3 linked regions of the Caenorhabditis elegans genome follow. The protein of the gene in region 2 purifies or fractionates together with the protein of the main gene of each other region. This does not show direct contact. Each region holds a gene or a part of one and is shown on either strand. Other genes may lie near its edges.

The links.
Region 1: the proteins of mtq-2 (region 2) and trm-1 fractionate together in Caenorhabditis elegans (co-fractionation; one large-scale study listed by BioGRID). This does not show direct contact.
Region 3: the proteins of mtq-2 (region 2) and metl-1 fractionate together in Caenorhabditis elegans (co-fractionation; one large-scale study listed by BioGRID). This does not show direct contact.

The regions. Positions count from the first base shown.
Region 1 is NC_003283.11:14,181,293-14,190,064, forward strand, and holds trm-1 (tRNA (guanine(26)-N(2))-dimethyltransferase), read right to left. Parts: upstream 4,318-8,772; 5' UTR 4,239-4,317; intron 4,196-4,238; 5' UTR 4,178-4,195; coding exon 4,099-4,177; intron 4,047-4,098; coding exon 3,977-4,046; intron 3,930-3,976; coding exon 3,624-3,929; intron 3,576-3,623; coding exon 3,198-3,575; intron 2,732-3,197; coding exon 2,233-2,731; intron 2,183-2,232; coding exon 1,934-2,182; 3' UTR 1,832-1,933; downstream 1-1,831. Other genes in the region: cest-2.3 (Carboxylesterase type B domain-containing protein), read right to left, coding at 445-646, 911-1,196, 1,571-1,638; ZC376.8 (DUF236 domain-containing protein), read left to right, coding at 1-217; ints-2 (INTegrator complex Subunit homolog), read left to right, coding at 4,493-4,537, 4,586-4,666, 4,710-5,082, 5,344-5,510, 5,558-5,662, 5,721-6,376, 6,424-6,520, 6,956-7,149 and 5 more. UniProt on the Caenorhabditis elegans protein: Dimethylates a single guanine residue at position 26 of most tRNAs using S-adenosyl-L-methionine as donor of the methyl groups.
Region 2 is NC_003280.10:2,184,157-2,192,735, forward strand, and holds mtq-2 (Methyltransferase HEMK2), read right to left. Parts: upstream 5,302-8,579; coding exon 5,191-5,301; intron 4,442-5,190; coding exon 4,217-4,441; intron 3,390-4,216; coding exon 3,060-3,389; 3' UTR 2,993-3,059; downstream 1-2,992. Other genes in the region: gba-2 (Putative glucosylceramidase 2), read right to left, coding at 1-232, 559-631, 674-807, 1,207-1,359, 1,410-1,613, 2,226-2,265.
Region 3 is NC_003280.10:11,467,843-11,475,207, forward strand, and holds metl-1 (tRNA (guanine-N(7)-)-methyltransferase), read right to left. Parts: upstream 5,734-7,365; 5' UTR 5,721-5,733; coding exon 5,629-5,720; intron 5,578-5,628; coding exon 5,515-5,577; intron 5,466-5,514; coding exon 5,071-5,465; intron 4,638-5,070; coding exon 4,417-4,637; 3' UTR 4,293-4,416; downstream 1-4,292. Other genes in the region: rga-1 (Rho GTPase-activating protein 68F), read left to right, coding at 1-115, 178-330, 390-664; cisd-1 (CDGSH iron-sulfur domain-containing protein 2 homologue), read right to left, coding at 896-1,123, 1,179-1,267, 1,663-1,750; slc-25A37 (Mitoferrin), read right to left, coding at 2,518-2,598, 3,060-3,176, 3,223-3,927, 4,116-4,169; ngat-1 (Beta-1,4-N-acetylgalactosaminyltransferase), read left to right, coding at 6,254-6,375, 6,433-6,615, 6,674-6,965, 7,015-7,365. UniProt on the Caenorhabditis elegans protein: Catalyzes the formation of N(7)-methylguanine at position 46 (m7G46) in tRNA.

The sequences.
Region 1 (8,772 bases), on a different chromosome or scaffold from region 2:
TGAAGAAATGTTCAAGGACGAGAAGAAAGATGATGAAGGAAAGAAGAAGGAGTTCAAGCAACCGGATAAAGTGCAAAAGGCTGATGCAAAGGATCCACAATATGAGACTTTGAATGAAGTTGATAAGGGAATCTTTAATAATGAGGAGAAGAAGAGCGAGAAGAAAGATGCTGAAAAGAAGGATGACAAAGAGGAAAAGAAATCCGAAATTAAATAGCTCTTGTAACTCGAATAAACCATTTCATGAAATAATTTCGGCGCGCAAGAACTGTTACTCTTTGAGGAGGGCGCATTTGGAATGGTCTCGCCACGCGCCAGCCATTGATTTTTGAAGCGCGTGACGAGACCAATAAGTGGCAAGTGGCAGGACTATTTCGAAAAAATGCGCTCTCCTTTGAAGTCATATAAGTGTACAAAAATACACTGTACTTGAACTACACGTACCATACATTGCCACATTCGTATCCCCGGTTTCTCCATTAAATACTCCAAATCCAAAAACTCCGAGGCGGTAATTGAATGTCACAACTACAATATTTCTGTCCTGACCCACAAAATTGTTTATAAAAATTTCAGGTTTAAATGCGGAACCCGATTCGCAAACAAGTCGTCCACCATGTACCACAATCATTACGGAGCAGTTTTTCTGGAATATTGAAAAAAAAATTGAGAGAGAAGTTTTGCGTTTGTCCACTAAAATAGACGGTACCGTTCTCACGGTGCATCAAATGTTTTCTAATCGTAACCGCTGAAAATATATATGCGCCTTGAGAAGTACAGTAACCCCTTTTTCCTCGTTATTACTAGAACCGTATAGTGGTTACTGTACTATTAAAGGGACACACGCCTTCTGGCGTAGTTCGTGGCGAGAGCATCATGTGAAAAATTGCAAAGACTGTATAATACTGACATTTTGCAAGCAATACTGGTTTGTGAACACATTTGCGTATAGACAATCCTCTGAAATTTCTCCAACAAATCCATTTTTGAAAGTTTTCCTCCAATAACTCATACACGCAGGCTTATAATCCTTTGTCTCTAGAACTCCTTCCCATGATTTCAGAAGACGTGGTTTCCGGAATCGAAGTTCTCCAATTGGAGGTTCAACGTATGGTATGCCCAAAAATACGGTAGCAGTTTGATTTCCAAACGGCGAATAAGTAGCATTCAAGATTTTCCCTTCGATTGTTCCAGTTCTGAACAAAACAAATCAAGAGTTTTAGTCACACTGTTGCAATATATTTCGATTCTCAATGCGAAAGTACGGTATCCGGTCTTGCAGCGACGAATGAAACATTTCCAACTAAACAAACACCAAGACTTGCGCCTTTAAAAGGTACAATATTTTCAATTTGCAGTTTTCTTCGTTATTTCTTTTATTCTCATACTTTTTTCAGCGTTCCAGTTCTGCCTTCAAATAGATAAACGGAAAAAGGAGAATACCATGCAAATACCGTACTCTCTAAAGGCGCACACCAGTTTGTACAGACTTTCTTCAAAAATATATCATTCGTGGCGAGACCCGGCCCTGTATTTTTGCTTTAAAATCGGAAAAACTGAACAAACTCACGATAACTGAATTCTTGTAGAAATAGATAAATGTATCAGAACTGCGAAGTATAAATATTGTAAAATCATTCTCTGATGATCGATTAAACAGAGCCAACCGCTCTCATTTCTGGGAAATATGTTATGAAAACGATAAGAGATGGCACAGTGATAAGATAAATCAATTCTCTTTGGCTGATGAATTACTAATGTGGGAATCCCTTTGGAATCTAATGTTAATCGATTTTTCCTCAATCTGAAAATAAGTAGAAGTGCGCTAAATAAGAAGAGGATATATTTATCCAAACTGCAACAACAAAAAACACAACAATATAACTTGAAAAATAAAATACGCTCATAAAAAAACAATTTTAAAAATTAAAAATTATTCCTTGTGCTCGGTCAATTGAAATCCTGCCTTCGTCGAGTTCACTGATCCTTTTGCTTTCTGGCGAGGGCCCCAATTCTTCCCTTTATTGCATTGGAACCGTACAAGGTTCTCTTTCTTGGCCTGTTCGATGGCTCCTGGGTGAAGAGTGAAGTTGACTGTGTTGGTGATGGGTTGTCCGAGAATGTGATATCCTGCTGATTCTTTGGCCAGACGCTTCTCGCGATCCACACTTGTGTCTTTAGCCTGGAAAAAACATTTATTTGTGAATCGTATACTGTTTTTATGAGACTTACAACTTGTCTATAAATATCCCATAGCAAGTGCATCGGAGCATTTGTTTTGATTGCACGGGGATTACAGTGAGATCCAGAAACTTTGAAACCGGCATTTAAAATCGCAGATCTCACACTTTGAGATTTTGGAACGGAAACTTTCACAACATTCGCCATTTGGTTGTGCTCATAATATAAAACATCATCCAGTTCTTCATTGACCATCGTAAGAACACCTTGAAGACGTCCGTGAGTTCCAAGTCTTTCAGCTTCAGGAGTAGATTTCAGACGTTCCAGAAGGGAAGTGACGAACGGTTTGCTGTGAATTGGAGCAAGATAAATTGGACCAATTTGGTGGAGTGGAAGTAAGCAATGGATGCATCGATTGCCTGGACCAGAGATTGAATGACGGACTGTTGGAATTGAATATTTGCTTTGTTGATTTCCTTCTCCTCGTTTAAGCAGTACTAATGGCTCCATTGAATGACATCCAGAGCATACAAGCACAGTTCCGACTTTCCTAAAAATATAATTTAATGTTAACTAATTAAAGGAGAACTAATGGATTTACGGTCTTGATTTTGAACCAATGTCGGTTCAAAAATTCGGGAAAATGAGCTGGTTTTAATTAAAACCTGTAGTTTTGCCAACTTTTCCTTTCGCAGTGGTTGTCAATTAACCTTTACTTGATTATTATCATCTATTGCATAATTTCATCGTTAATCTCGTTACTCTATAAATTTATGCACTTTTTAAGTCGATAGGTATCAAATAATGATATTGGTTACCTATCGGCTTTAAATATCCATTAATTAATAAAATAATGTGAGATATAGTAAAAGTTAATTTCCAACAGCTTTGAAACAGAAAAATTGACAAAATTGGAGATTTTAGCTAAAAATAGTTGTTTTTTTCACAATTTTGAAAATTTTCTTCATTAAATTTAAATCTAGCTATTTTGAAACTTAAATTTTCTGTCAACTCACGTTCCACTCTGCTTCGCTTGAAAAGCTCCTGTGTGTACCCTGACAAAAACTCGAACGTAAAAATCAACGGAAATCGACACCAATGGCTCAATATATCTTGTATAACGATTGGCTGCAGAATCAATTGCTCGAAGTAAAATCCGAAGTCCAACTTCATGACAACACTTCATTCTAGTGGTAACTGCATCGTATTTGTTGTAGCATGCTTCTGGAGTGTTTCCGCATAAAACAGCCATGTCAGTGCACGTAACCATCAGAATTCCACGATCAGCGACACATTGGACTGCCGAGTCTAGAAATGTGGAAGCAGTTCCATATGGATCCAGGTCAACAGCATGGAATCGTTTATCAATACCGCGATGTTCCATCATTGTCATACTGAAATTAATTTTAGATTAAAGTTCGAATCAAGAAAAACTAATTTACACTGCATCTCCGAAATGTGCTTCAACTATATCCTCGACTCCATTCAATTTCACATTTTCTTGAATTGAAGCAACTGCGTTATCGGAGAAATCATTTGCCATAATGAATCCCACATTGGGAACTTCTTTCGAAAAACGCAATGCTCGCAGTCCCGAAGCAGAAAGCGCATCGAGAATTCGGATTTTGCCATCTTCATTGATAGCCAATTTATTTTTCTTTTTCGGAGGTTCTTCTTCTGTTTTCAATTGCTTCTGTTCCTCTGCCCATTTTTGATGATCAGCAGAAAATTGACGAAGAACTGTTACTCTGAAAGATAATTTCCTTAAAATACTGAGATTCAGACACAAACTCACGTCAAATCGCGATTAAACTCCTGAACTGGATTATAGAAAACTGGTCCATGGAAACCTACTTTTGCCTGTCCTAAAATAAAATGTTTAATTTGTTTTTAATTCTATTTGAACTCAAAACAAACCTTCCTGAATAACTGTCACTTCTTCTTTATCTTCGCTTTTTATTGCCGAATCTCCAGATGAATTGACATTCTCGGTCATTTTATACCGCGAAATTTGCTAAAAACTGAGATTTTTTTAAGATTAAATGTGCAGTGCTTGCCTTTCTACTTTTTATTTGCAAAATTCGGGAAAAAATACTGCGCGAAGGAAGAATAAAAAACGTTTTTGTCCTTGATTAAATTAAAGCGAATACGAATTAGAGAACTCCGAGAGGACAACACGAGAAAAGTTGTGATTGGAGCGCACTTGCGTTTCTTCCCTTTTCGCAAAAAACATTTTTCTGCACACATTTTTAGACGTTTCTTTCGTCAGAAAACCATTTTAATTGAGGCGGAATACACAAATTTCAGTGTCATGGAGGTAGAAAAAGCAGAAAAATGCTTGACTCCTCGAATAAATGTAAGCTACTCCTGAAATTCGCTGAAATTAAAATTATTTAACTTTCAGAATTTTTGGGAAAGAAAGAAAAATTACTTCGAGATTGCTGCTGTTCAATCAAGTGTTGGGAAAGTTAATCCTGATTTGCCGGTAGGAGAATATTACAATACATTCATAATTTTATATTTTTCAGGATGCACTCCTGGCTCCGTTGATCACAGTTTTGGATCCATGTACTATTCATTCCTCAATTCACGCAAAAGTCGATTGGAATCTAGTAGCATCACGACTAAAACGACTCAATATTTTGAGTAGGCAAACTCGCGGAGTTGCATCTCTAAATAGGCCATCGGGATCGCAAAACTTAGATGGGGCATCAGATATTGAAGGATCATCGGATGGAGGTTCATCTCCAGCGTTTCATCAAAGAAAACGAGGAAATAGCCGAGGAATAGAAGGAGCCGGAGAACCAATGGAAGTAGAAATGACTGAAGAAATGATGTTGAAAAAAGATAAAGACACATTTATCGATGAAATCGTGGATTTAGTTAGGGATATTCAAAAACGTATGTAACTACGTAGGATTCGAATTTCACAAATTAGATATATCTGCTGCATAGGTGGAAATGAACTGAATTGCATATAAAGAATACAATAAGCCTGAAAAAACTCGTGGCACTGAATGTTCCAATTGGGAAATTTGTTTCCGGCAATTCGGCAAAATTAAATACCTAGCTGTAATAGGTAATCTTGAAGAATTGCCGCTCACCCATAGTTCCAAGGAAAATGCGAAATGATTATTTGAATGAAATCCAAATAACTTCCAGACAACGACGCATCAATGTCTTCACAACCAACATGGATCGATCGATTATCAGTGGAAAAGATATCAAATCAAATATTGATGCTTCAGAATTATCTTCCATCGCTACTCACAGTCGAAGAAATTATAAATGCACTTCTCTTTGAACACGGACCAGATGTCATTGAAAATGTTGGTTCATTTTCTCGCGTTGTCATGAAAAATTCAAAATATTTCAGCTTATAATCGAAACGCCTGAAAATTTGGTCACAATTGTCAATATTCTGACTAACAATCCAACACCAGGAAATCGTACAAGATATAGAAATTTGGTTATAGGAAAAGTAAGCTTTCACATTAAATTAAAAAAACTATTTCAAGTTTTAAAGTAGATATTTTCAGATCGTCGAACTATATCCATACTTTGCACGCCGAATAATCGAAAAATATTCCGAAAAACGATCGGATTGTGTTTTTGCATGCAGATTAGCTGTTGATCATTTGAATGATAGACAGTTTTTAGAATTCATGGAACCACTTTTGACAGATAAAGAAACCATAATATACAAAATGGTAATTCGAAGTTCCAATCGACAAGTTCTTCCACTAATAATTGCACGTCTTCTCAATATGGCAGATACTGTTATTTCGCCACGTCCCGAATCCACATCATTTTCTGAAATGGGAACTGCTCCATGGTGCACTCGTCTTTCATATTGTCTCGTGGAACTTATGAACTCTGCATTGGAACCTTGGACTGAACTAGAAATTATTACTGTCACTAGATTTTTGTTTAGAACTGATGCAAATCCATCATCCTCAATATTACACTCTGCTGATTCAATATCTGGTATGGATGAAGCCATGGATTTGAGTTTTCGTGAAGAAGCTCACTGTTCACAAGATTCTGTTGTTCCTGATTCGGATCCTGAATCAACACAATCGGCTCAAAGACCAATACCGGTTTCCCAAAGGACTGCTGTAGAGCCCAGTCCATTCGGAGATGCTCATGAATGTTTTGTACTGTCTGCGCTGCTCGCCGTCCCGTTTTTCACACAGTAATCTAGAAAAGATGTTAGTTTTTAATTAATTAAAATTTATCCAGATATCCGCCTAATCAAACGGGAGCAGTTCAACCACCAGATCGAGCTGTTGAAAATTGGCTTGATGTGTCAAGAAGGAGAGTTCTGGCAGGGGAAAAGGTATCGTTCGGCTACAGCTCTACAAGATCTTGCTCTAAATATTCAATTATGGAGGAGATTATGTCGAATTAAAAAAAATTAGAAAAAGAGTCGAAAAACGAATATTTATATACATAAAAATCGGAAAAAATGTTTAAAAAGTTAACATAGAAAAAACATTTTCAAAAACCTATTATTTTAATATGAAAAGACATATTTTAACGCTATTTTCAGATTAATCGAAATTTTTTAGAGGTGCAGTAGGGTCAAAACAAATATTTTGCTCTAAATTATAGAAAATTAAACATTCTAAATTATTTTAACAATTATATTAGGTAATTAACCTGTTCCCTGTCTTTTAAATCATATGATTTTTCAAAATTACCTTTTATGAAAAATCAGAAGACACCCTTTTAAAAAACTTAATTATAAATAAAAATTTTCCGATTTTTTCAGGTCACATCAGCATTTGGATCGCATCTGATATATGTTCACTCGTGTATAATGTCTTCTCGAATCGAAGAGCTTTCGGAGTTTGCAAGTTATGGAATGAAACAAAAAGTTGAGCTTGTTAATCGTCAGAATCACGTTCTTGTACTGAAAAACACTTTCACATCACGTTGCATGACAGAAATGGAGGTTGCTAAGCGGTAAAACCTAGAGTTTGGAATTTACAGCACAATTTCAACTTTCAGAAGTATTTGCCAACTTGTCACAAAATGCTCTAATGGCGAGAGCTCGTACGCTCTTCGAACAATTCATGCACTTCAAGCTGCGGGGGTTTATAAGACATTCCAGATAAATATTAGGTCATGGTTGGAAGAACAATTGGATAATATAACACTGCCTGCTTCGCAACTTTTAGCAGAAGTTGTTGATGGATTTGCACATAGTTCTGCTCATTCCAAAGGAAAAGGTCTGAGTGAGGAATTTATTAAGGTTAGAATAAGATTTTGATTTTTACAAAAAAAATTACTGAATTTCAGAACACCTTCACTGGCGATGTATTCGATTCTCGTACGATTCCGAAACGGCTTTTCGTCCTATTTTACATTTGCTCGTACAGGGAAGCAGCTCAACGTCATGATGCGTCTCTTCGAAATTCGGTAATTAAATTTGAAATTGGAGTAGCGCAATTTTGGTCATTTCCCTAATACACTCAAAATGATTTTACAAAGGTTGAGTTGGTTCAAAATTTTGAAAATACCCATTTTGGTAAATTCACAGATTTTGCCAATTTGTAAGTGTTAGAGAAACCAAAAATTAATTTTTTCAAGTTTCGTGTTTAATTTGGACTCATATTCGGTCTTCAACAACAAACTCCGCATAATAAAGAACTAAAAACAACTTATCTCTGGTTTCTGCTACACTGAAAAATCGTCAAAATTTGAGAATTTAGCTTAAAATCGGTGTTTTTTCAACATTTTGTTGAACCATCTTAATTTTTTTTTTGAAATATTTACAAGACGTCTCATCATGAAATTCGGGTCGATTTGGGCTACTTCGAGTCTAATTTTTTACAGTTCAACTAAAATTTCATTTTCAGCTGTACGACAAGTCTATCTTCCTCAAGCTACCAGTTCGTTACATACTCTCAGTTATGGAATATCAGCACGAAAAGTTTGAGAATGTGAGATCCAAGATTGTAGGTTTTTTTCGCCAACTTTTCTCTATTTCAATTTTTGAAATTTTCAAGACCGCCAGAGCTGCAGTTCTATTTTCGTATTCTCTGCCAACTCCAGAATCAATGCAAATTGTGGCTGAAAATCATGAAAATGCATCAGCAGAAGTAATCGAGGAAGAACAATTTGGTAGCAATATCAATCAACGAATAAATAAATTAAAAGATATCAAGAATATTAAAATTATATTAGAAGTGATCAATCGAAGTAGTGTGAGAATGCAATTGGCTTCACTTCCCATCATTATCGACATCTTTATGGAGTCACTGAATTCATCAACTCCGCAAGGCTTCGAACAACCTTTAATGGCAATTTTCGATCGATATGAACAACTTGATCCATTTTCCCTGTTTCAACAATCAACAATTGCATGGATTCGAAACGATGAAGATATTGTATTGGATGATATTATCAAAATTCCATCGTTACTTTTCAGATGTGACAGGTTTGCTCACAAGAATTTTTTAATTCTAAAACAAAGTTTATAAATTTGTGTTCCAGACGTATTCTCTCATCACCTCCACATTTTAATTGTTTCGTGCGAGCTCTAAACTTCTTCAGTAAAATGGTTCGAATCGAAAATCGTCTCAA
Region 2 (8,579 bases):
ATAAAATCTCTTTGAAATTCCGCCGTGAATCCCATTGATTGCATTTTAGTCTTCTTATCACTTCCGCTAGTTGGCTCATTTTGAGTTGACAAGCCCCAGAAGAGAATCCCATTTTTCTGATATTCTTCCAAGAAATGTAAGATATAAGTGACGTAGGATTTGTGGTAGGTGTCTTGATTGGTGCCTAGTAGGATACCGTACCCTTTGGTGGAATTCGTGGTTTTTAGCCAGCCTGGAAGCGGAAATAAATAGATTTCAGGGGGGAGTTCGGTAGAGCGCGTTTGCACTAGCTTGTCGGAATGTATGTCATTCGATAGAAAATGTTACGATCTACAAGTTTGTCTCTTGTGCCAACTTCATAGGACCCCGTTGAAAAAAGTTATGCAGAAAGTTCAATGGAGCGCATATGCGTATTTTGAGATTTAGTGAAAGTGCGCTCCACTGAACTTTTGACATAACTTTACTTAGCGGCGTCCTAGAAAATTGGTTCAAGAGGCAAATTTGTAGATCAAGAAATTTTCTATCAAATGGCATAAAAAACTCTGGAAAATTCCGTACCTGGCGCACTCCACGGCACGGCGAAAAACTTCAAATCGTGGTTGTACTTCTGCGCCATTTGCATATACGGAATCTGAAACTTTCAGTCTTTTTTTGTTAATAGGCCTAATAGTACCTTCCACTGATAGTCTTCCCTTTGCAGGCTAAAATGTGCCATATTGTAGTCTTCAAGGTTATCGTCATAAGTGTAGACACGACTTGAAAAGTCATTGCTGGCAATTGGAACCCGTCCGAATTGCAGGTTCAGGCCTGAAATAGCAAAGTTAGGTAAAAAGTTCAATGGAGCGCAGTTGCATTTTTATATAAATTTTAATGTTCTACATATTCGCTTCTTGAACCAACGCTCTATTACTACGTTGAGCAAAGTTATAGCCAAATTTCAATGGAGCGCACTTGCAAAACCTCACAGATTTTATTCAAAATTTATGTCAATCGATAGAAAATGTTATGATCTACTATTTTCCAGTTTGCACCAACTTCGTAGCTTTCCGTTGAACAAAGTTACAAGGAATTGAAAATTGGCAAAAAATTTCGATGGTGCAAACGCGCTCCATTGAACTATTGCTATAACTTTCTTCAAATTGGTCCTAGAATGTTGGTTCAAGAGGGAAAGTTGTAGAGATTTGAATTTTCTATCGAATAACTTACCAGAATCCGAAAAATACTGTCTCAGAATTGTATCAGCCATCTGATCGGGTAAGCTCTTCAAATTCGCACCAGAAGCATCGGAAAACGTTGAGCCAAATCCTTGGATTGTCTGATATGTTTTTGACGAGTCAATTGTGAAGTGCATGCTGGTTACTGTAGTTTTTGAGATTACGGTAAAAATTTTCAAAAAAAAAGTTGCTTACAAGGGTCACTATTTGTCGCATAAACCACATCCCGATGCAGTCGGGCTCCGGATTTGGAAGTTGTGAATGTGGCAGCCTGCCCGGATAGTAAGTTGATATCTGGGATCTCATCGCAATAAGTTATGTTGCAGACACACACAATTCCGGTTTTGAAGGTTTTTTGGGCGCAATCATTGGCGAGTGCCACCTGGAGGGAGGCGAGGGCTGAAAAATTTGAATTTTTCGTTGAAAAATTCGAATTAGTCATGAAATTTTCTGAGTTTTGACACCCATATTGACTATATTTGGACAAAATCGAAGAATTATAGGATTTTGGGGTGCGCTGCGGTCGCGTCGCGGCTCAAATATGGGAATTTTCAAAATGGAGCTAGAGTGGTCTAGTTTTTTGTATTAATATTAAAATTTTGAGTTGAATTGGCTTTCGAATTGAGTGCTGAAAAAATTGTTTAATATTGTTTTCAAAAATTTTTAAAGATAAATTAAAGAAAAGTTTTTTTTTTGGAAAAACGGTATATCGTAACTTTTTTAGGTAATAAAAATCAAGTTCCTGGTGAAATTTGCTGAGTTTTGACACCCATATCGACTATATTCGGATGAAATCCAAGAATTTTAGGATTTTGGGGTGCGTTGCGGTCGTGTCGCGGTTCAAATACTAAAATCTTCAAAATGGACCTAGAGAGGTCTAGTTTTTTGTGTTTAGCTAGAAATGAAGTGGAAAATTAAATTTTTTAGTGGACATTTAAGAAAAAAATAGAAAACATTCTAAATTTTTTTGGAAAATTTTTTTTTTTTAAGTTTATAAAATCAAAAACTCACCAAAAAGCCCTAAAACAAAGCAACTCCAGGCTATAGACATTATGTGTAGACTACTCCTCCTTTCTCATTTTCAACTTAAATACTCGTATACTGATAAGCTAGAAATCAGTTCAATTTGTACTGATGAAGTCATTTTCTTATCAGTAGCCTGTGATTCTAGCCAGCTACTGACTTTTTGGTCACTTTCCACACAAAATCGCACAAAAATGTGTGTGCTTCTTGTGCTTTTCTGTGGCCTGGAAGTCACAAGTGACTAGAAACTGACTGAAAACTCAAGTCAGAAGATGATTTCACATTTGAAAATTTATTTGAAATTAGGAACAATCACATTCGAGCTATTGAGAAGATTTGGAAAATGTGGCAAAAAGTTTTTAAGCAGATCAGAATTTTTTTAGTTTTTTAAAACTGTCTAAAAATGATCTGAATCGCAAAATTTTAGATTTTCACCGTAAAATTCGAATTCCTTGCAAAATTTCAGCCTGAAACTCGAAAACTAGAGCTCTCTAGCTCAATTTTGGAGTTTCCCGGGTTACTGTAGCCCCGGAAGTACGCAAACACCGACTACAGTACCCCCAAACACACGATTTTACGCGATTTTCGAATTTTAAGCTAAAAATTTATGGAGAGACTAATTGAATAGTGGAGAATTCGAATTCGTCAATAAAAAGGTTTTTGTGGTGCGTTGCGGTCGCGTCGCGGCCTTGCAGTGGTCATTTTCAAATTATCGCTAGAAACGTCTAGTTTTCTCGAATACAAACTGAAATTATGCAGTGGTTTCAGATTTTTTATTGAAGTTCCGTGAATTTTATCGAAAATCCAAGAAAAACAACAAATTTATTCAATTTCCGCAAGTGGCGCCGCTTTAACATTATTCTCCTTCATCACAAATTTCAAAATATACAAATGTTCGATGCCGCAACGGCGCTCCATTGACACTGACACCGTCATTTGCTCCGAGTGCTCTTTGAGCAGTGCCGGGATATCGTTCGAGTGAAGTGCGACGAGATAGAAGACACCACGTGGGGACAGAAGCTCGGGGACACGTGGCAAAAGACGATCGAGCGTTGATCTACCGGTTCGGCCGCCAGCGTAGGTCAATTCGATGTTTGATTTGGGCTCTTCGTCAGTAGGGACGTACGGTGGGTTGAAGAGGAGCACGTCTACCTGGAAAATAAAAATTTGGAAAAAAAAGAAAATTTTCGTCGCTAAAACTCAGAAAACCTAAATTTTCATCGGCAAAATCGAAATCCCTGCGAAAAATCAGTGAGAAAATCGAAAACTAGAGGTTTGTAGCTTAAATTTGAAGATTTTCGAGTTTCGAGCCGCGACGCGACCGCAACGCACGTTAAAAAGCCAAAACCCTGGGTTTTTGACCGAATCTAGTCGATATGGGTGTCAAAACTTTGGGAATTTTGTGGAGAGTTCAAAAATTTACATAAAAACACGAGAAATATCACGGAAATTGTGTTACCGGGAGACATTTTCTATAAATTCTGAGATTTCTTTTTTTTATAATTCCATTAGAAATTTGAATTCTCCATTAAATTCTAAATAAGTTGCAAAAAAACTAGACTTTTCTAGCGTTATTTTAAACATTTTCGAGTTTCGAGCCGCGACGCGACCGCAGCGCGTGTCAAAATTACTTGATAATTTCTGAATTTGAATTGTAAATTCGAATTCCTCTTAAAATTTCAGTCAGAAACTCGAGAACTAGAGCTTCCCAGCTCAATTTTTAAATTTTGAGGGTTACTGTAGCGTCAAAAGTACGCAAACACCAGCTACAGTACCCCAAAACACTCGATTTTACGCAATTTTCGGATTTTGGGCTGAAAATTGAGGTTTAGACTAAGAAAATAGCGGTGAATTCGAATTTGATAATGAAAATTCTGATAAAAAATTGTGGACACCAGTTTTCGAGGAATTTTCTTCAAAAGCCTTCGACTTTTATGATTTTTTTTCAACTTTTCAAATTTTTCTCTAACTTTACCAACCTTCCCAAGTAGATTCTCCAATCCTGCAAACAAATCCGTACGAACCACATCAATCTTAATATCATTGAGCTTTGCGGTCTCCAGTGTCACATCCAACGCGTGTGGGTTCAAGTCAGTCGCCACTGACGTCACATTTCCGCCGAGAGCCTGATTTACGAACGTCGAGACGACTCCCGAACCACATCCGATTTCCAGTACAAGCTTGGGGTCGCGAGATCGGATTTCCTGGAAATTTGAGGTTTTTCGGGATTTTTTTCAGATTTTTCACTGGTTCAAAAACTTTTCCGCGAATTTTCATCCTTAAATTTGAATTCCCCGCCATTTATTTGGTCTAAAACTGAATTTTCAGCTCAAAATTTGAAAATCGCGTGAAATCGGGTGTTTTGGGGGTACTGTAGTCGGTGTTTGCGTACTTTCGGCGCTACCGTAACCCTCGAAATTTCAAAAAAGAGCTAGGGACTTCTAGTTTTTGAGTGTCTGACTAGAATTTTACAGGGAATTCAAATACGGCAATGAAAATTTTAAAATTTAAATTTCAGACTAAAAACTCGGCAAAAATTTCAAGTTTAAGAATATTTCTTTCTGAAAATTCACGGTTTTAACTAAAAATTCGAATTCTTCGCGAAATTTCCGAAATTTTGACATCCACATCGACTAGTTTCGGTTAAAAACCAAAACATCTGCAATTTTGAGGTGCGTTGCGGTCGCGTCGCGGCTCAAATGCAAAATTTTTCAAAATTGAGCAATTTACATCTAGTTTTTGGGATTCTAGACTGGATTTTTGCGAGGAATTCGAATTTATTATCAAAACCAAAAAAAAAAGTTTCAATTGATTTTAGGCTAAAAAATGTTGTAAATTTTTGTTCGCCAAATTTTCCAAATTTTTTTTTCTCAAAAATTTTCAAAATTATTTCTAGTTCTCCGCGCTTCCAACCGAAATTTTACGAGAAATTCGAATTTCCTACTCATTTTACCTTAATATCCTTCTCAATAGCATCAATGAGGAGAAACGTGTCCTCGGCTGGCTCATAGACGTCATGGGCTCGAATCGCTTGGAGCCGATACTGGGGAGTTGGCATTGACATCTGAAAAAATGGAAATGTTTTTTAAAAAAGAATCGAAAATTTAGAAAAAAAAAGAAAATCTGGAAAAAAATTTCCAAAAAAAAAAAAAAATTTTTTTCTCAAAAAATTTTTTTCTCCCAAAAATAGAAAAAAAGGCGACAAAAGAAAGAATTTCTAATCGAATTTCATTCTGCCGCCCTTTTTTGACGCGCAAAGTGCAAAAAAGGGGGAGAAATCTGAGACGGCGGCCGGATGATGAGATTGACAGCTTTTCACTGGTTTTTTGCACTTTTGGGAGACTTTCTGTGGGGACATTTTGCACTTTTTTGGGGTCAAAATTGGTTAATATGACACTTGGGAGTGTTTGGAAGAAATTGGAGAAAATTCAAAAATTTCAAAAATTTTGAAAAAAAAATTCAAATTTTTGGCTGAAAATCTTATGAAAATCGATTTTTAAGCCAAAATTTTAAAACTTGACTGCAAAATTCGAATTCCTTACAAAATTTCAGGCTAAAACCCGAAAACTAGAAGTTTCTAGCTCAATTTTGAAATTTCCCGGGTTACGGTAGCGCCAGAAGTACGCAAACACCGACTACAATACCCCAAAAAACCGAATTTCACGCGATTTTCGAATTTTGAGCTGAAAATTCAGGGATAGACTAAGAAACTGGCGGGGAATTCAAATTTCAAACTAAAAATTTAAATAAAAAATTGTGAGGTCTTTTTCAGAAGATTTTTGTGACTCAATCTTTGATTTCAAAAAAAATCAAAAAATTTCTCCGGATTTTTATTATCAAATTCAAATTCCTTGTCATTTTCTTAGTCTAACCATGAATTTTCAGCTTAAAATTCGAAAATCGCGTCGAATTCAGTGTTTCGGGGGTACTGTAGTCGGTGTTTGCGTACTTTTGGTGCTACCGTAACTCTCAAACTTTCAAAATTGAGCTAGAAAGCTCTAGTTTTCGAGTTCAAAACTGAATTTCTGCGAGGAACTTGATTTTTATAATAAAATTTCAAAAATTTGGGTTTCAGACTTATTTTCCGGCAATTTTCAATAGAAAATGTATGAAAATTCATGTTTTCTGGTTCTTTTTCAAACAAGAAAAACAATCAACGCCTCTTTTCTTTTCTCCGCAAAAAATAAGAAAAAAGAGGACCCAAAACGGAAGCTTCGCCTCTTTTTGGGAGTCCTGGCACTGCCAGTCGGTCTAAAAATTGTCAAAAATAAATGGCTGGGCGGTCAGTTTTTTTTGGCTGCGCAAAGAAAATTTATCTTTGAGGGCTCATCTCTTGGGACCCCCTGACAGCTGTGGTGACTAGACAGGGAAAAAAACTGATCTTTGGCTTGGGAGCTGAGCCGAAAACAGTCTGAAAATCAGTCTGAAACTCAAATTTCAAGAATTTCATTAATAGTTTCGATTTCCCCGCAAAATTTCAGCTTTAGACGAGAAAACTAGAAGTTTTTAGCTTAATTGTGAAATTTCTTGGGGTACGGTAGCTACAAAAATACGCAAACACCGACTACAGTAACCCGGAAACACCAAATTTGACGCGATTTTCGAATTTTGAGCTGAAAATTTACACATATACTAATTGAACGGTGGAGAATTCGAATTTTACATTTAGAATACTGCGAATCGTTTTTGAACTTAATAAAAACGCCAAAAATCTCTGAAAATCGATAAATTGCTAAAATATTCGAAATTTCCATGTCCAATTTGATTTACTTGCAAAATTTCAGAAAGAAACCCGAAAACTAGAGCTTTCTAGCTCAATTTTGAATTTTTCCCGGTTACGGTAGCCCCAAAAATACGCAAACACCGACTACAGTACCCCCAAAACACCCGATTTGGCGCGATTTTCGAATTTCGAGCTGAAAATTCAGGGATAGACTAAGAAAATGGCGGGGAATTCGAATTTCAAAATGAAAATTTTCAGGAAAAATTTTAAGTTTTGTAAAAATTGAAATTTGCAAGAAATTTCCAAAAAAATTCGATGAAAACACCTAAACTTGACATCTTTTTCCAGGAAAAAACTACAGAAAAATTGTGTTTTTCTGCAAAAAAAAGGTCCAAATCTCTTGGGACTGCTCATTTTCGATGACCCCTCACAGAGACCCCCGTCTTCCGGCGGGGGTCTCTGCGTGTTAGGGAAAATTGTCGAGACGGAAACAGATGATACTTCCTTTCGGGATTTGCTGACCATCCTCGTTTTTTCTAGATTTTGAAAAATAGGAAATTTTGTGTTTTGGTCGCAAAAATGAAAAAATTCGGCCCAAGTGATATTCAAAACATTTTCAAAAAATTTTTATAATTAAATTCGAATTCTCCGCTATTTTCTTAGTCTATTCCTAAATTTTCAGCTCAAAATTCGAAAATTGCGTGAAATTCGGTGTTTGCGTACTTTTGGCGCTACCGTACTCCTAGAAATGTCAAAATTGAGATAGAAAACTCTAGTTTTCGAGTTGCAGACTGAAATTTGATGGGGAATTCGAATTTGGCTCCGAAAATGTGTAAAAATTAATTTTTAGTCCATTTCACTCAAAATTTTCAACTGGAACTCTAACTTTCAGACTACTCCCGAATATTTGGAGAAATTTAATTAGAAAATTCGAATTCCCCGCAAAATTTGCTAAATTTTGAACCCCATATCGACCAGAATAGGTTGAAAACTAAAAATTCAGCAATTTTTGACGCGCGTTGCGGTCGAAATTCGAAATTATTCAAAAAAGAGCTAGAAACTTCTAGGTTTCGAATTTCTGCCTCAAATTCAGTGGGGAACTCGAATTTGATAATAAAAACCAGAAATGTTGAGTTTCAGATCGATTTTTAAGGATTAAAAAAAAAAAAAATTAGTAATAGTATTGTTTTTAGGTAAATCTGGGGAAAGTTGACGACCAAAAATATATTATTTTCAGATTTAATTCATAATTTATTTGTATCAGGAAAATTGGAAGAAACAGGAAATGAAGTGAAAATGTACAGAGAAACGAAGAAAAAAAAATCAATAAAAATTTGGTATATCACAATTTCACGGAAATTATCGATTTTTCGGTGATTTCGATAAAAATCTCCGAAAAATCGGAAACAAAAAATTTAAAAAATACCCATTGACTATAACGAAATTTTTGTGCGGTTTTCTAGCAAAAATTCTGATAAAATTCAAAAAAAATTTGGAAAAAAAAAAATTAAATTATCGATTTTTGTTGGCGGAAGGGGGCGGGGCGGGAAATGGAATGATTAGGTGGGAAAAAGTGGGCGGGGCACAAACATCACAAATAAAAATGGCTCGGAAATTGG
Region 3 (7,365 bases), 9.3 Mb from region 2:
ATCGTTGACCAGCTCATCGAGTATCTGGAAGCTCACGCGTTGACAATGGAAGGAGTTTTCAGGAAAAGTGCTAATATTGGAAGTATAAAGAGGCTACAGGATAGAATTAATAAAGGTATTTAATAGGCTAGGAAATTGAATTTTGATTTTGATTTTAATTTTAAATATTTGTTTCAGGCGAAAAAATTGATTTCGAAAATGATCCAGAGTACAAGGACAACGAATACGTGGCTTCCCTGCATGCTTCTGTACTTTTGAAGACGTTCTTCAGGAGCCTCGGAGAGCCCCTAACGACCAATAGGCTTTATCCGAAACTTGCGGCTCTTTCAGGTGAGAAAATATTTAAAGTCAATTGAAAACAGTGTTTATTTAATATCTGAATCTTTCAGAAGTATCGAAAACCGAGAAAAGCGCCGCCGTGAAAGAATTTGTGAAGCTTCTGCCTCGTGAAAACTACATTCTTCTGAAAACAGTCATCAAATTCCTAACTCGAGTCGCCGAAAACAGCAAAGTGAATCTGATGACTGCAAACAATTTGAGTGTCGTTTTCGGTCCAAATTTGACGTGGCCAACGGATCAAGAAGTGCCGATTTCTCAATTGAATAACCTCAATAACTTCTGCTATAAATTAATTGTGGATTATGATTCAGTATTTGATCATTGATCATTAGGGTGTTCAGCTTTTGCATTTTCCCCCGTTTTTCTGTACTTTTTTGCCTTACTGTAATTTATTTATTGCATCCATATTAAATAAAATTCAAAACACTTGTCATTTATACTAAAAATTAATTCACTGTATCCGTACTAAATCATATAAAACCGATGGTTTTCGACGATCACAAGAACATTTAGAAGTCAATAGATAATGAAGATCAATGATTTGTCGAGACGACGTTTACTTCTTTTCGGATTTGACGATGAGTGGGCCAACATTGTCGCCAGTCTCCTTGTTGTGCTTTCCATGTGATCCGTCACAGTATGGCCACTTCTCGCTCTTCCAGCATCTGCAGAATGCCTTCTTCTCTCCAATATCCTCAATATCGACGGTGTCGACGATCTTATTCGAGTCGAGCTGGATCTTGTAGTTGCAGCGAGCCGAACGCTGTCCGAACTTGTAACCAACCTGAAATTAATTAGTGAAATTGAAGAGGCTACATCAGGGGAAGGCTTGAACTTACAAGGTATCCAATAAGAGCTCCTCCCGCGAGAACGGCGGCAGTCGTGGCGACACAGCGACCAGAGACTTGAGTTGGGCAAGGCATGGTACCTGGAAAATTTAATTTAACAAAAAAAATTTAAGGAATAAGATTCAAGCGAAAAAAAATATATACGATTTATCATAAGGTAGATGCAAAATTTGGCGATTTTCGCATAAAAGTACAGTATCGGGTCTCGAAACGACCGCTTTGCTTTATTGGGAAAGAGTATGCGTCTTTAAGGAGTACTGTATCAATTTTCATAACTTTTTCAGAAGTGCTATCTTTTAAAATTTATGAGAGAATTCGCGAGTTGACAACTACAGTACTCTTTAAAGGCGCACACTCTTTCTATTGGAAAACCAGTCGCTTTGAGACCAGATACGTAACCTTTGACCAAAAAATCGGAAAATTGTGAATCTGTGTAATAAGAGGCAGTTCAATCAACAAATTATGCCAAAATTACCAAGCTCTGCAACAGAACAATGCTGTGGCGTTGTCCAACAACAGTGATCTTGAATGAGAGATAAAGCACAAAATCCAGCGATGGTCATTTTTCGAAGAAAATTGTAAAATATGTAGAAATAAATTTAAAAACCTTTTTTCGTAATCTATCGATTGATCTTTTTGATTAAAAAATTTGGACGTGAGAAGAAGAAAAATAACTTTTTTTCAAAGGTCAAATCGAAAAGAAAATCGATTTTTGTGAATTTGATATATTTTACAATTAGAATTTTTCGCTCATTTTCCGCCAAAAATCGAAAAATCTTCAGCCTCGTGGACATTATAAGATCACTAACAATTGTGAAAGAGAAAGAAAGTGACGTTGAAGTCGAGGCGGTCGCCTGAACATCAGCGCCAATCGCAGTAAAAACGAGAAAATGAGAGATAAGAGAGAAATAGACACAAGATACAAATTTCCGTGTGAAACTACGGAGCACAAAGAACATATAAATTCAGTGGAAACACTAATTTTTTATGTATTTATTTGAATTTTTGTCTCGAATAATAAAGGGATGAGAGAGGGAGGGATGGGATACAATTATTATGAACACTTTTCCACTAGAAATGCTCGCATAGGTTGATAGTCAAAGAAATCATTTGGATTCGATAAAACTTTCAGAACACAACAAAAAGAATCTAGAAGGCATCTGCACGGGTTTGACACGTGTTTTGTAAAAAAAAGAAACATAGAAAACTGAGAGTAATATGAAAAAAAAACAACAAAAAGAAATGAGAACTATTGAACCTAACCTATATGAGGAGAAACCTTGGAAAAGAGGAAAAATTGGGGGAAAAATTGGAGAAAAGATCAAAATTATCAACTCGAATGACCTCCTTCGAAAGACAACATGAATTTGAAAAGCTCGTAAACGGACCAGGAGAGAGCAGTTGCAGGAACCTGGAATAAAAATTATTAAACTGAGGTTTTTCTATTGCCCGGATACTGTACCAGGTCTCGAAGCGGCCGATTTTCTTAAATTTAACAGAGTGTGCGCCTTTAAGGATTACTAAAGTTGTTCTTCGATTTTTTGTTATTGTGATTTTCTGATATTTCGAAATTTTTCTTGATTATTGGAATAATATCATAAAAATTTGGCAACTAAATTTTTGTGTTTTTTTTTTCTGAACATTTTTTTTTCCAGAAAATCTAAATTTTATGTTTTCCGATTTTTACAAAAAAATAAAAAATCGGAAATTCTAGATTTTCTCTGGAAAAATCTAAATTTTTTTCGCTGTAACCGTTAGTTGGGAATTACAGTAATTCTTAAAGGTGCAGACCCTTTGCATTCAAAACAATCGATCGCTTCGAGACCGGTTACCGTATTTTTTGGCACGAAAATCAAAAATCTTAGACATTACCTGGAATATGACCCTAGCTTGTAATCCACACGAGAATCCGGATAGTCCACGTTGAGAATAAATTGTCCGTACGGCGTCAGAAATTCCACGATAACGATACCTAGCCTGTAATTCATTCTTTTCAATTATAGCAAAAAAATGCGAAGAATTCAAAAAAACTCACCTGCAAGAAAATTCGCCTATTTGCTGGATCAGCTTCTGCAGCTTGTTGCGTATTCAAAACGGTTTTCACACAATCCATTGGAGTCGTTAAAGCAGCTGCCAATCCGCCGGCAAGTCCTCCCGCAATTAAATGTGATTTCGGATCGTATTTATGCTCCGGATTCAGGACGTGCTGCCAGAATTCGTAACTCATAAAGTGAATTGCTTGGAATGGAACATTCATTGCCAGCTGTGTCGTGTATGATCTATAGAAAGCCGCCACACCTTCCCGATTATAAACACATCGAGCACATTCCAACGATGATCCGTATGGAGAGAAAGCCATTTGCATTCTTTGCTTCACTACTTCTGCTGGATTCATGATAGCGTCATGGATAAGTGTTGCAACAACTCCAGAAGCTCCATATGCTAACGTATTGCTGTGTCCCGCGGAGTTTCCCGTCAAATATCCCTTCATTTTCTCGTAAACTGTGAAGTATAGAGCGTGAGCTGGCATTGAGCCTGCAGCAACTGCATTAACTCCACGTAGCGGTCGAAGCCATCCTTCTCGTTTAACAATGCTCATCAGTGAATGTACAGGAGTTGGACATTTCGTTTCAGGGCACGGACAAAGTGATTGCATTCTCGTTTTGACCGAATCGAATGGAAACATGACACAATGCTCAACGGCTCCGGCCAGGGCTCCAGCTGTCAAGTGCACCTGAATCTTAGATTGTGATAGAATGGGAAACACTAATTGAAAATTAATTTAATAAAAAAATTTTAATTAATAAAAATGCGCCGAATTCGTAATGGAACTTCTCAAAAAAAAACACGTATTTTTTGAAGAAAACGGTTAATTTTTGCCGAAATCTTCAATTTTGTCAATCTCTTTTAATTAATTAAAATTCTTACCGGGACGCTGTGTGTTGGAAGTGATTCGTACTCATCTTCGCCACCGCCACCCATTTTGCCCAGTACTGAGTATCTGCTGAAAATGCGATTTAAAAATTTAATAATTGATTAAATTTAATAGATATATAAGTAGAGTTTGAAAACTCGATGGAAATAAGTTCAAAAAATCAGACTATTAGAAGAATTGGATTTCATTTAACAGACAAAAACACAAAATCAACAAAATAGTTAAATAACAACCTCGGAGGAGGAGGGAGAGTCTCGTGAAAAATTGATGAATGTTGGAAGTAGGCAGAGGGGATTATAAGGCCGGGTTCGGAAGTCGCCTGAAGATTGCTGGCCACTTTCCTCCGTCATTTCGAGTCACTTTTTGTCCTTCTTCAGTACTTTCAAAGAGCATTTCCACAATCGGATCTTTTTTCATTTCTTCTTCAGTCAGCCGTTCGAAAAGTGGATGCTCGCTGAGATGCTTGACCATCCATTCGTGTAGATCCTTGACATCAGTGATTGTGTAGATAATACCTGAAAAAATAAAAGTTATAACAAAGATCAATAGGCACAGCGGGAAAATGCACTTGTAGGTGCGCAGAGCTACAGAGAAAGGAACAGGTTTCTACTTAGCTATAGTTCTCACGTGGCACACATGGAACGGATTGTTAATTTTATTGGGCAGGGAATTGAAGATAGAAGCCTACGTGCAAATTTGAAACAATTAAAGCTTCAGAGATTGGAAAGTTTTCTGAGATCTATCGAAAGTCAAGAAAAATGTTCGGTGATGAAATGTCTCGCAGCAGCATACGGCCACGCGGTTAGATGATAAATATTGTTTGATGGCGAGAATTAGGGACACAAAGACACATTTTCAACCGTTGATACGCTATTCTTATCATTGAAACTATTCCTATTCCATTATCTGCACTTGTGATCACTGGTACGATCAAGGTCACTCTCATACCTCCTTCACGAAGCACATAAGCGTATTCGGAGAGCAGTGTTGGAGTGATGATCCGCCATTTGTGCTTCTTATTCTTGAAATGTGGATCTGGGAAAAGGAAGAACATCTTGGAAAGTTGTCCTTTGTGGAAATAATTTGGCATGTATTTCATGGCATTTGATCGGAGAACGGCTACATTTCTGTAGTGACCAGCTTCAGCGTGATGCTTTCGAAGTGCTTGGATTTTTTCGTTTACGTAATCCGACACTTTCACACGAATTTCCATACCGATCATCAGATTATCAGGATATTTAGGTGACAATCTCATCAAAAGACCTCCATAACCACATCCGATGTCTGCAAAATCCACTTGACGTCCTTTTGTGTAATCGCCGTAATATTTGGTCCAATCCATACTAAAAATTGTCAAAATTTAACAAAAGGTAACACTTTAATTTTACTCACTGGTTTGGAGTCAGTGGATATTCAATGTCATGATCAGAATGAGGATTCGAGTGAGCTCGCTGCCTGAAATCCTTTTTTATTAAATATTAAACTTTAGTTTTCTCAGAAACTAACCGATAATGCTTCTTTTGAGGCAACCCTGGAACTGTCTCGCAAGTAGGTTTGTGATCCAATTCCATTTCTGTCAGCGCAGGAGTTATGTCCATGTTTTTGCTGAAAATCACGAGTAAATTATGTAAATATTTACGTAAATTATACATTGAGGTAGTTGAAAAATGCGCAATTTAATTTTAAAAAGTTAAATTTTAATAATTTAAAAGTTATATTTACTGAAAGTTAACTTTAAAGTTATAAAAGGAAAAAAATTAAAATAAAAAAATGAGAAGATCGTGAAGTGCGCCAAGCGTAACTCGATTTGCGCCAGCAATCAATTTTCGTGCGCAACTTTCGTGTTGGGGAGTTCTCGGCGTCTCCTAGGTTTCGCATTGTCTCTCGCCTTCTTCACAACAATTCCCGTTGCTTCACTTACAACAAAAAAGACCGGACAACCACTGCAGTTGTTCTGAATATACTTCTCACAGCCACGCATTCGTTCTTTTTCTCTTATTCTGTCACATAACTTTCCCCTCAACACCTATTTACTCTATTTACAGCCGGATTTCTTTTCTGATCCCCTCAAAAAGTAATTTCCAATTTTCAGAATTCAAATGCATTGATTTATCGGTAAAAGCTACTTAAAATGAGGACCTCACACTGCATAATACGTAGTTTTTCTCCGAAACGACTTATCATTTTCGTTGCCGCCTCCACACTAATCTATGTAATGCTACTCAGAAATTCTACATTAAATGATGAAAGAAGGTTTGTTTTTGATATATTTTTATAAATGTGAGATACTAAATATTAAATAGTCTCCAGGATAGCAGCGACTGAAGAGCAAGTTCGATCTGTCAATGTCAATGTACAGCAATCAAAAAACAGCGGAGTCGCTGAAAGAACACACGATATAAAGGATCCTGTTGAATTGGAAATTGCTCGACAGACGCTAACATTTTTAAATATGGAAGAAGCCGTCACAAAACCAAAGCCACCGGTTAAAATGTAAGTTTTTTCAGTGATTATTGTGAATCTAAACTAAACGTTTTTTTTATTTTTTCAGCGCCGAAGAGGACGGATCTTGTCCAATAGTTGAGAAAATACCAGATCTTCAAGGCGCTCTTCCACAAGCCACACTTTTGATTCAAAATCTTCAAGAAGGAGAAGTACACGCAATTCATCCAGAACTTGGCCCAGGTGGCTCATGGAAACCGGATGATTGTCAGGCTCGCGATAAAATCGCAGTGATAATTCCATATCGAGAAAGGCAAACTCACTTGACTCGATTGATCGACTTTTTGATTCCAATACTTCAACGACAGCGGCTAGATTTTCGATTCATTGTTACTGAACAAGTAAGAATTTTTTTAAAGCAATGCTTAAATAAAAATATTAAATTTTCAGTATGGAAACGACTTGTTCAACAAAGGCCGAATTATGAATGCTGCATTTATCTTCGCAGAAAGCCTTGGAGTCGATTGTGTAGTCTTCCACGACGTCGACATGTTCCCACAAGACGATCGGAACCCGTATTCGTGCCCACCTGGTCCACGTCATCTTGGAGCTTTTGTCAGTAATCTGGGATATCAATTGTGGTACAAGGAGATTGTCGGAGGCGTTTTAGCAGTATCAATGGCAGATTATCGTGCAGTTAATGGATATTCAAATCAATTCTGGGCGTGGGGAGGTGAAGACGATGATATGGGACAGAGAATACTTTCATTAAATTACACAATTGAACGACCAAATCCTGAA